Caenorhabditis elegans: one gene and its partner. The protein of the gene in region 1 interacts with the protein of each later gene in a biochemical or structural test. Each region holds a gene or a part of one and is shown in the gene's direction. Other genes may lie near its edges. The genes, in order: pgl-3 and let-363.

Region 1 (3,919 bases):
TATCATTGCTATTTAAATGACGATTTGAATGGTAAATGTCCAACTGAAAAATCTCTCAGAACTTTAAATGCCTGTATTTATATCAATTCGAGAGTAATTTCTATCGATTGTTGGCTTAATTTGTTGCTAAACTATTCATCTTTAAGATTCTGAAAAGAAAATTCAATTTCATAAAGAACCGAGAAAGTTATGCGTGATTTAGTCAAGTGCCCTCAAGTTTCGCGCCATTTCGCATTCGGCGCCAAACAAGATGTGTCCCGACAGGGTGGTAGAGCGCGAGTATATAAGGATGGCGCGCGCTCATTTCTCACACTCACTCTCCAAGTGACCACTACTCATCCGTTCAACAATGTCTGACGTCGCCGTTGCCGCCGACACCACCGAAACTCCAGCAGCCCCAACGAAAGCTTCAAAAGCTACGAAGGCTTCAAAAGCTACGAAGGCTTCAAAAGCTACGAAGGCCAAGACTACCAAGGTGCCAATGGTCAAGGCCGATGCCGCCCATCCACCATTCATCAATATGGTCACCGAAGCCATCAGCAGCATCAAGGACCGCAAAGGACCTTCCAGAGCCGCAATTCTCAAGTATATCACTACAAAATACACGCTTGGAGATCAGGCTAACAAGGTATGTGTTTTATTTAAAGCAGAAAAGCTAAATTCAAATCAATTTTTCTGAAAAATTTTGACCAGGTTTTTGATTACAATAACTTCATTTTTAACCTAAAAATTCTTAAAATAATAAATTGCCGAACAGAAAAGCAGAAAAAAAACTATGTAGAGATGACGTTCCCTAAATTTACCTTTCTTTCAGATCAACGCTCACCTCCGCAAAGCTCTTAACAAGGGGCTTGAAAGTAACGCCTTCGTCCAGGCTAGCGGAAATGGAGCCAACGGACGGTTCCGTCTTGCCGAGAAGACAGCCTCCGTGGCCAAGTCGCCAGCTGCAGCAAAGAAGGACGCCACTGGAGAGAAGAAGGCTACGACGACCGTCGCCAAGAAGGCCGCCACTGGAGAGAAGAAGGCTACGACGACCGTCGCCAAGAAGGCCGCCACTGGAGAGAAGAAGGCTACGACGACCGTCGCCAAGAAGGCCGCCGCTGGAGACAAGGCCAAGAAGACTGAAGTCAAGGTGAAGAAGGTCAAGTCGCCGAAGAAGATCGCCAAGTCTCCAGTCAACAAGGTCACCAAGTCTCCAGTCAAGAAGATCGCCAAGTCTTCATCCATGAAAGCCGCTCCAAAGAAGGCCGCTGCCAAGCCAGCCAAGAAAGCTCCCGCCGCCGCCCCAGAGGCCTAATCACATTGTGTGAATAATCAAATTAATTTCGATCTCACCATTGTATTATATCTCTCCCTCTTGTAGGTGTCCCAGATACTGGTTTTTTTGCATCTAATCATTATTTATTGTTCCTTTGACAAACCAATTCCTATCAATGAACCAATTACTGCATAAAGTTTCAGCGTTTTCTCGTCTTTTCAAAACCTTTCAGATTTTCGGAACAGTGTTCACAGCGGGAAAAGATAGATAAAGTCCCGGAACATCTAGCAGACAGTCTTCTTCACCGTTTGGAAATTTTTGTTGTTTTCCTTCTGGAAAAATTGTATATCAAGTTCATTCGACTGATCAAGCTCGATTTCTTAAAATACACAACTTATCGGCTTAACTTGCAATTTTTGCAATATTCAGATCTTTTTTCAAATAAAGCAACAAATTCTGTTTAAATTTACTCGCAATATTTCGAATTCGGTAATGAAAAGTACTTTCAGAGAACTTTCTAGATTTTTTTTTGAAAAACTGATTTAATTTTTAAAGGCGCACGCCTTTTCCCACGCGATGGGTCCCGACTGGAAAAGCCTCCACGAACTTTTCGATGATTTAGAAGTCAATTTTTTTAAAAAGTTTTTTGTGTGTTTTTGCTCGAAGTTTCTTATTTTCAATCATCATTTGGTGAATTTAAACATTTTACACGTAAAATTTCAGTGTTATTCGTGATTAAAAAGTTCACATGGAAGCAAACAAACGACAAATTGTGGAGGTCGATGGGATTAAGTCCTACTTTTTCCCCCATCTCGCCCATTACCTCGCGAGCAATGACGAGCTGTTGGTCAACAACATAGCACAGGTTTGACTGTAACTATTGGGATTTTTGTTAAATATTCTTCTTACAGGCGAACAAGCTTGCAGCTTTCGTCTTGGGAGCCACCGACAAACGCCCAAGCAATGAAGAAATTGCGGAGATGATCCTGCCAAATGACTCCAGTGCCTACGTGCTTGCTGCTGGCATGGACGTTTGCCTTATTCTCGGGGATGACTTCGTTGGTTTAATTCCGAAATGTTCTTGTATTAATAATTCATTTCAGCGACCAAAGTTCGATTCTGGCGCTGAGAAGCTGAGTCAGCTTGGACAAGCTCATGATTTGGCTCCAATCATCGATGATGAAAAGAAAATCTCGATGCTCGCCCGAAAAACAAAGCTAAAGAAGTCGAATGACGCCAAGATTCTGCAAGTCTTGCTCAAAGTTCTCGGTGCGGAAGAAGCGGAAGAGAAGTTTGTCGAGCTCTCGGAACTGTCGAGCGCCTTGGATCTTGATTTCGACGTCTATGTCTTGGCAAAACTGCTTGGATTTGCATCGGAGGAGCTCCAGGAAGAAATTGAAATCATCCGTGACAACGTCACAGATGCGTTTGAGGCCTGCAAGCCGTTGTTGAAGAAGCTGATGTAGGTTATCATGATTTAATGTTGTGTGTCTCAGGAGTGTTTTTCAGGATCGAGGGACCGAAGATTGATTCTGTGGACCCATTCACCCAACTTCTGTTAACTCCACAAGAAGAATCTATCGAAAAAGCTGTATCCCACATCGTTGCTCGCTTCGAAGAAGCCAGCGCCGTCGAGGATGATGAATCACTCGTCCTGAAATCTCAGCTAGGATATCAATTGATTTTCCTCGTCGTTCGCTCACTTGCTGATGGAAAGCGTGATGCTTCCAGGACAATCCAATCGTTGATGCCGTCGAGTGTCCGAGCGGAAGTGTTTCCCGGATTGCAACGGAGTGTTTTCAAAAGTGCCGTGTTCCTCGCAAGCCATATCATTCAAGTCTTTTTGGGATGTTAGTTACAAAGATTGCAAACTTCTTTGAACAGTTTCTTTTTCAGCCATGAAGTCATTCGAGGATTGGGCGTTTGTTGGCCTCGCTGAAGACTTGGAGAGCACGTGGAGAAGAAGAGCAATCGCTGAATTGCTGAAAAAGTTCAGAATCTCTGTTCTCGAGCAGTGCTTTTCTCAACCAATCCCACTGGTAAAATTATTCCTTCACGTGAACTTATAATCAATATTTTCCTTTTTCAGCTCCCTCAAAGCGAGTTGAACAACGAAACTGTCATCGAGAATGTGAATAATGCTCTCCAATTTGCATTGTGGATCACAGAGTTCTACGGATCGGAGAGTGAGAAGAAATCACTCAATCAGCTTCAATTCCTAAGCCCAAAATCCAAGAATCTTCTTGTTGATAGCTTCAAAAGTAAGCAAAAAGGCTTCTTATTTTAATCGAATAAATTTTACAGAGTTCGCCCAAGGACTGGATTCTAAAGATCACGTGAATCGTATCATTGAATCTCTGGAGAAGAGCAGTTCGTCGGAACCTTCTGCAACTGCAAAACAGACCACAACTTCCAATGGACCGACCACCGTCTCTACTGCAGCTCAAGTAGTAACTGTTGAAAAGATGCCATTCAGTCGTCAAACGATTCCATGTGAAGGAACAGACTTGGCGAATGTGCTCAATTCTGCAAAGATCATCGGAGAAAGTGTTACCGTGGCTGCCCATGATGTCATTCCGGAGAAACTAAATGCGGAGAAGAATGACAATACTCCATCAACTGCCTCACCTGTTCAATTTTCTAGCGATGGTTGGGATTCTC
Region 2 (3,919 bases), on another chromosome or scaffold:
TTTAAGCGCTTTCAAAATTTAATAACAAAATTTTTCTAGGTGCCAGAAGCTTCCAGTTTAATCAAAAAAACTGACCTCCAGGCATATAAATGACCGCATTTATTTATTGGGAGATTAACTAAGTTTTCATAATTTCAAAAATTAATATCTGACTTAAAATGAACTTTTTTGTCGAAGAATTTTTTCAAGAAATAATTACTTGAAGTTAATTCAATGTTTTACTGAAAACCCATGTTAAAAGTATTAAAACTTGCTATTGAAATTTTATCTAGAAAAAACTATTTTTTGAATTACCTCTGCTATGGGGGAGGCAATTGTGCGGTGGAGCGCACTTGCCGCCCATTTATTATTTTTTGGCAGCAAGGTTTTCTCCAAAATATTCTATTTTTTAATGTTTTCTTTTGTTTTTATTGAATATTTTGCTCTTTATATATGCAAAATTTTGATTTTACCAATTTTCATTCTTTGAGGTTCTTCAAATCTACAATGTGGCGTAGTTTACCGAGTTTGGTGTCTTCGGCTGTTCGGTTAGTTGATAAATCGAAGTTTGTTGAATTCCAGTTAATTTTTGCTTCTTTTAGATCACAAAATGCCGTCAACACACGATTTTCCAGTACAATGAAACAATTTTTCGATGATGAAGCGAATTTTGGAAAAGCAGAGCTCCGCCCGAAACATCGGCCGGGCAGATCGTGGACAGCAGAAGAACTGAGATTAAAAAGCAATTCAGATTTGCATAAGCTTTGGTAATTTAATGGCAATTCGGTTTTAAATTTATTAAAAATTTAAATTTAAGGTATGTGTGCTTGAAGGAGCGAAATATGCTGATAACGATGAAAAAAGCGCACACTTCACGTGCCCGGAACATGCCAAACCCAGAGAGACTTGATCGTGTTCATGAGGTATATTTTAAAAATTTAATAAATGCAAAATGATATATTTCAGACAATGGATCGTATAGAATCAGTAGTTCACGAGCGAAATGATGCGGTCTTCCGTTTGGAAACTGGAGAATCCGCGGCTCCACGCAAGAGAACAATCACTTCATTCGCTGGATTTACATATCAGTGAGTTCCTGATAAAATTAATTTTTTTAAAATAAAAATATGTTCCAGAAAACAAGCCACAGAACACTTTGCACCACCTCAACTCGGCCAGAAAGAATACGAAACTCCATATCTCGACGACGATGCCTACGTGATGCAGAAGCTTTGGCAGGAAAAAGAATTCATGAAAAATCGAGATAGATTGGATGATGAGAAGAGACGAGCGGCACGAACAGAAGACATGGACAGATTCAAGAGAGGAGCTCCACGAGTTTTCAATCGATAAAAAGTTGTTTCTAGATATTTTTTTTGTTTTCGAGTAGGCTTTTAAAAATGTTGTTTGCTTTGCTTCCTTCCTCAGTTTATTTAGTTTTTCAAAGAATATCCATTGTTCTTTTTTCTTGATATTTTGAAATATGCAACGGGTTTTGTCAGCCCATAGTTATCTGATATTACAAAAGGCTCCGTGTTGTTCTCATATTTTTCATTGAAAATCCCTTGATTTACATAGGAAAAAAAACCTAATTTTTAGCTGAAAAAAATTTAAAAAGTGGTAAAAAATTACCTGAAAGTTGTCTATTATCGAACTATCAAGCTATATTTTTCTGAAAACGGCCAGTTTTGAGCACTTTCTTGATTATTTCAGCTGGAAATAATTTTATTTTCGGAAAAAAACCAGTGATTTTCTATGCTTCTGATCATTCTCATAACTTTTTATTCTTAACGTAATTTTAAGCCCACAATGCACTAAATCGGCAGAAACATCTTTGAAAAATGCTCCAACAACACGGAATTAGTTTTCAAATGAATGCCGATAGACAGAACAAAGCAGCCACAACTTCCAATCGAATAGTCTCCGCTCCAGCTACAAATGAATTTGACGAGCGGCATCGTAAAGTTAGTATTTCTTCTCCTTTAAACAATTTTTAAGGAAAAAAAAATCATATTTCAGCAAGGGATTGATGCTGCAAGAGCTCTTGCTTCACAATATCGGAGCCGAATTACGGAAAATAGAGATGCAAATCAACGACAGGCTGCTCGAGAACTCAGCAGGTAGTTTTTTTTTTAAATAAAAGTCAATAAATTAAATATATTATTTTCCTCAGATATGTTCGAAGTGAGCTGAAAGACGAGCCAAATACTTTTAGTGATGCTTTCCTGAATGCAATCGATGGACGAACAGATATAGCCTCTCAGAGTGCAATTTATAATTGTATGAAGTCGAATTCAAATATCGATCAGAAACGAGCCGGTATCTATCTCATCGTGTGCTTAGCTGAAACTCATTCTGGAAATGTTATTCGATATGCGAATTATCTTCTGAAAATGTTAAATAATGGAAATGGATTAGATGAAGATACAGTCAAGATGGCTTCAAAAGCTCTCGCTTTTCTGATTGCGGTAAGTAATTTAATTTTTTTTAAACCAATTTTAAACATTTGCAGACTTGTAAATCATACGCGGCCGAGCTGGTTGATCGTTGTCTTGATCATTGCCACGAATGGCTTGGTCAAAATGTTCCACATAGTCAGCAACCCAAAAATCAACAGGAAATTGATCAAATTCGTCGACTCGCCGCTTCACACCTCTCTCGTGAGCTCGCACTGGCCACACCGACAGCATTCTTTCTTCGTGTAAACTTATTTTTCAAGTATATCTTCAACGCTGTCAGAGACAAGAATCCAGCTGTAAGAATCGCCGGAATTGATGCATTACACGTGGTTTTGACAATTGTTTCACAGCGTGAAGCAAAGAATAAAACTGAGTGGTTTAAGGTGATCAATTAAAATTTTGATCTTTCGTTAGAATGATTTTATATTCCAGAAATGTTTCGATGAAGCACTGGAAGGTCAACCAAACCCATCGCAAAAGGACGATTTGGATAGATGGCATGCCGTCGCCCTGATTCTCAATGAACTTCTTCGAATTTCTGATCAACGATTCGAACTCATCAGATGTGAATCCTCACAGTTTATTAAACAAAAGTTTTTGAAAGAAGACGAAGAAGAAGGTGTTGAATGGCTTGTCCTAACTAAGTAATCGATTCTTTTTCATCTATTTAAAAACTTGTATTTTTAAGGCAACAAACTATTGTGGAAAGTGTGACTGCTCGAAAGCTGGTTTTGGAACGATTTCCGAAGGTAAAAGCTGAAATTCTTCATTTCCCGAAATTTGTTATGTTTTTTTCCAGATACTCGATTGTGTTCGTCAGATAATACCTCTCGCAAACAAAACTTCATCCACGAAACAGCAAAGCTCGATTTACCTGAATACAGTTCTCATGCAGCTTCTACCAAGAATTTGTGCATTTCCACAATGTGATCGAACTTTTCAAACAATCTCATTCGACACTTCATTTACTATGTACGTAGAATGGAAGAGGACTGATGTTTATGGGCTTTTAGCTTTTATAGACTCGAAATGCGCTAAAAACGAATTTTGTAACGAGACTCAAAAAAAATTATGGTGATTCAAAATTTCCAATAATGTTCAATTTTTTCAGTCTTCAAAGAAATGCGGTCGCTGCTCCAGCAATCGGAATGATGATGCTCTCGAATCCAGATGTACATGCCACACATATCGAGAAAACAATCAGTTTTATCTCTGCTGCTATCAAGTAAATTTGAAATTAGTACACTTTTTTTAATAGTTAAATTTTGTAGAAAAACGACGAATTCTGATGTTCTCGATAATTATTTCACATTCCTGTTCCTATTTGTGGATGCTTATCACGAACAAGTGACGACACAAATCAAGGCAATAATTCCACAATTAATGGATATTACCCTGTCTCGATCGCTGGCAAACGTGCTAAAAATGATTATGATGAGAATTCCGAAACTGCGGCTGAATGTTCAAGATGGTGTTATGGC

The links.
Region 2: of the proteins of pgl-3 (region 1) and let-363, one has a biochemical effect on the other in vitro, tested with the Caenorhabditis elegans proteins (one study listed by BioGRID).

Annotation. Positions count from the first base shown.
Region 1 is NC_003283.11:4,754,004-4,757,922, forward strand, and holds the start of pgl-3 (Guanyl-specific ribonuclease pgl-3), read left to right. Parts: upstream 1-1,981; 5' UTR 1,982-2,006; coding exon 2,007-2,123; intron 2,124-2,169; coding exon 2,170-2,316; coding exon of another isoform or gene 2,317-2,320; intron 2,321-2,361; coding exon 2,362-2,720; intron 2,721-2,767; coding exon 2,768-3,108; intron 3,109-3,154; coding exon 3,155-3,297; intron 3,298-3,347; coding exon 3,348-3,519; intron 3,520-3,562; coding exon 3,563-3,919. Other genes in the region: hil-4 (Histone H1.4), read left to right, coding at 350-628, 815-1,297. UniProt on the Caenorhabditis elegans protein: Guanyl-specific endoribonuclease which cleaves the phosphodiester bond in single-stranded RNA between the 3'-guanylic residue and the 5'-OH residue of adjacent nucleotide, resulting in the formation of a corresponding 2',3'-cyclic phosphate intermediate.
Region 2 is NC_003279.8:5,243,961-5,247,879, forward strand, and holds the start of let-363 (Target of rapamycin homolog), read left to right. Parts: upstream 1-1,782; 5' UTR 1,783-1,820; coding exon 1,821-1,943; intron 1,944-1,998; coding exon 1,999-2,099; intron 2,100-2,152; coding exon 2,153-2,447; intron 2,448-2,491; coding exon 2,492-2,821; intron 2,822-2,870; coding exon 2,871-3,082; intron 3,083-3,126; coding exon 3,127-3,187; intron 3,188-3,237; coding exon 3,238-3,410; intron 3,411-3,549; coding exon 3,550-3,663; intron 3,664-3,709; coding exon 3,710-3,919. Other genes in the region: mrpl-47 (Large ribosomal subunit protein uL29m), read left to right, coding at 433-527, 582-746, 797-902, 946-1,067, 1,116-1,332. UniProt on the Caenorhabditis elegans protein: Serine/threonine-protein kinase that regulates the mRNA translation machinery, probably by modulating the activity of translation factors such as eIF-4G and eIF-2. It may have some protein kinase activity instead of lipid kinase activity.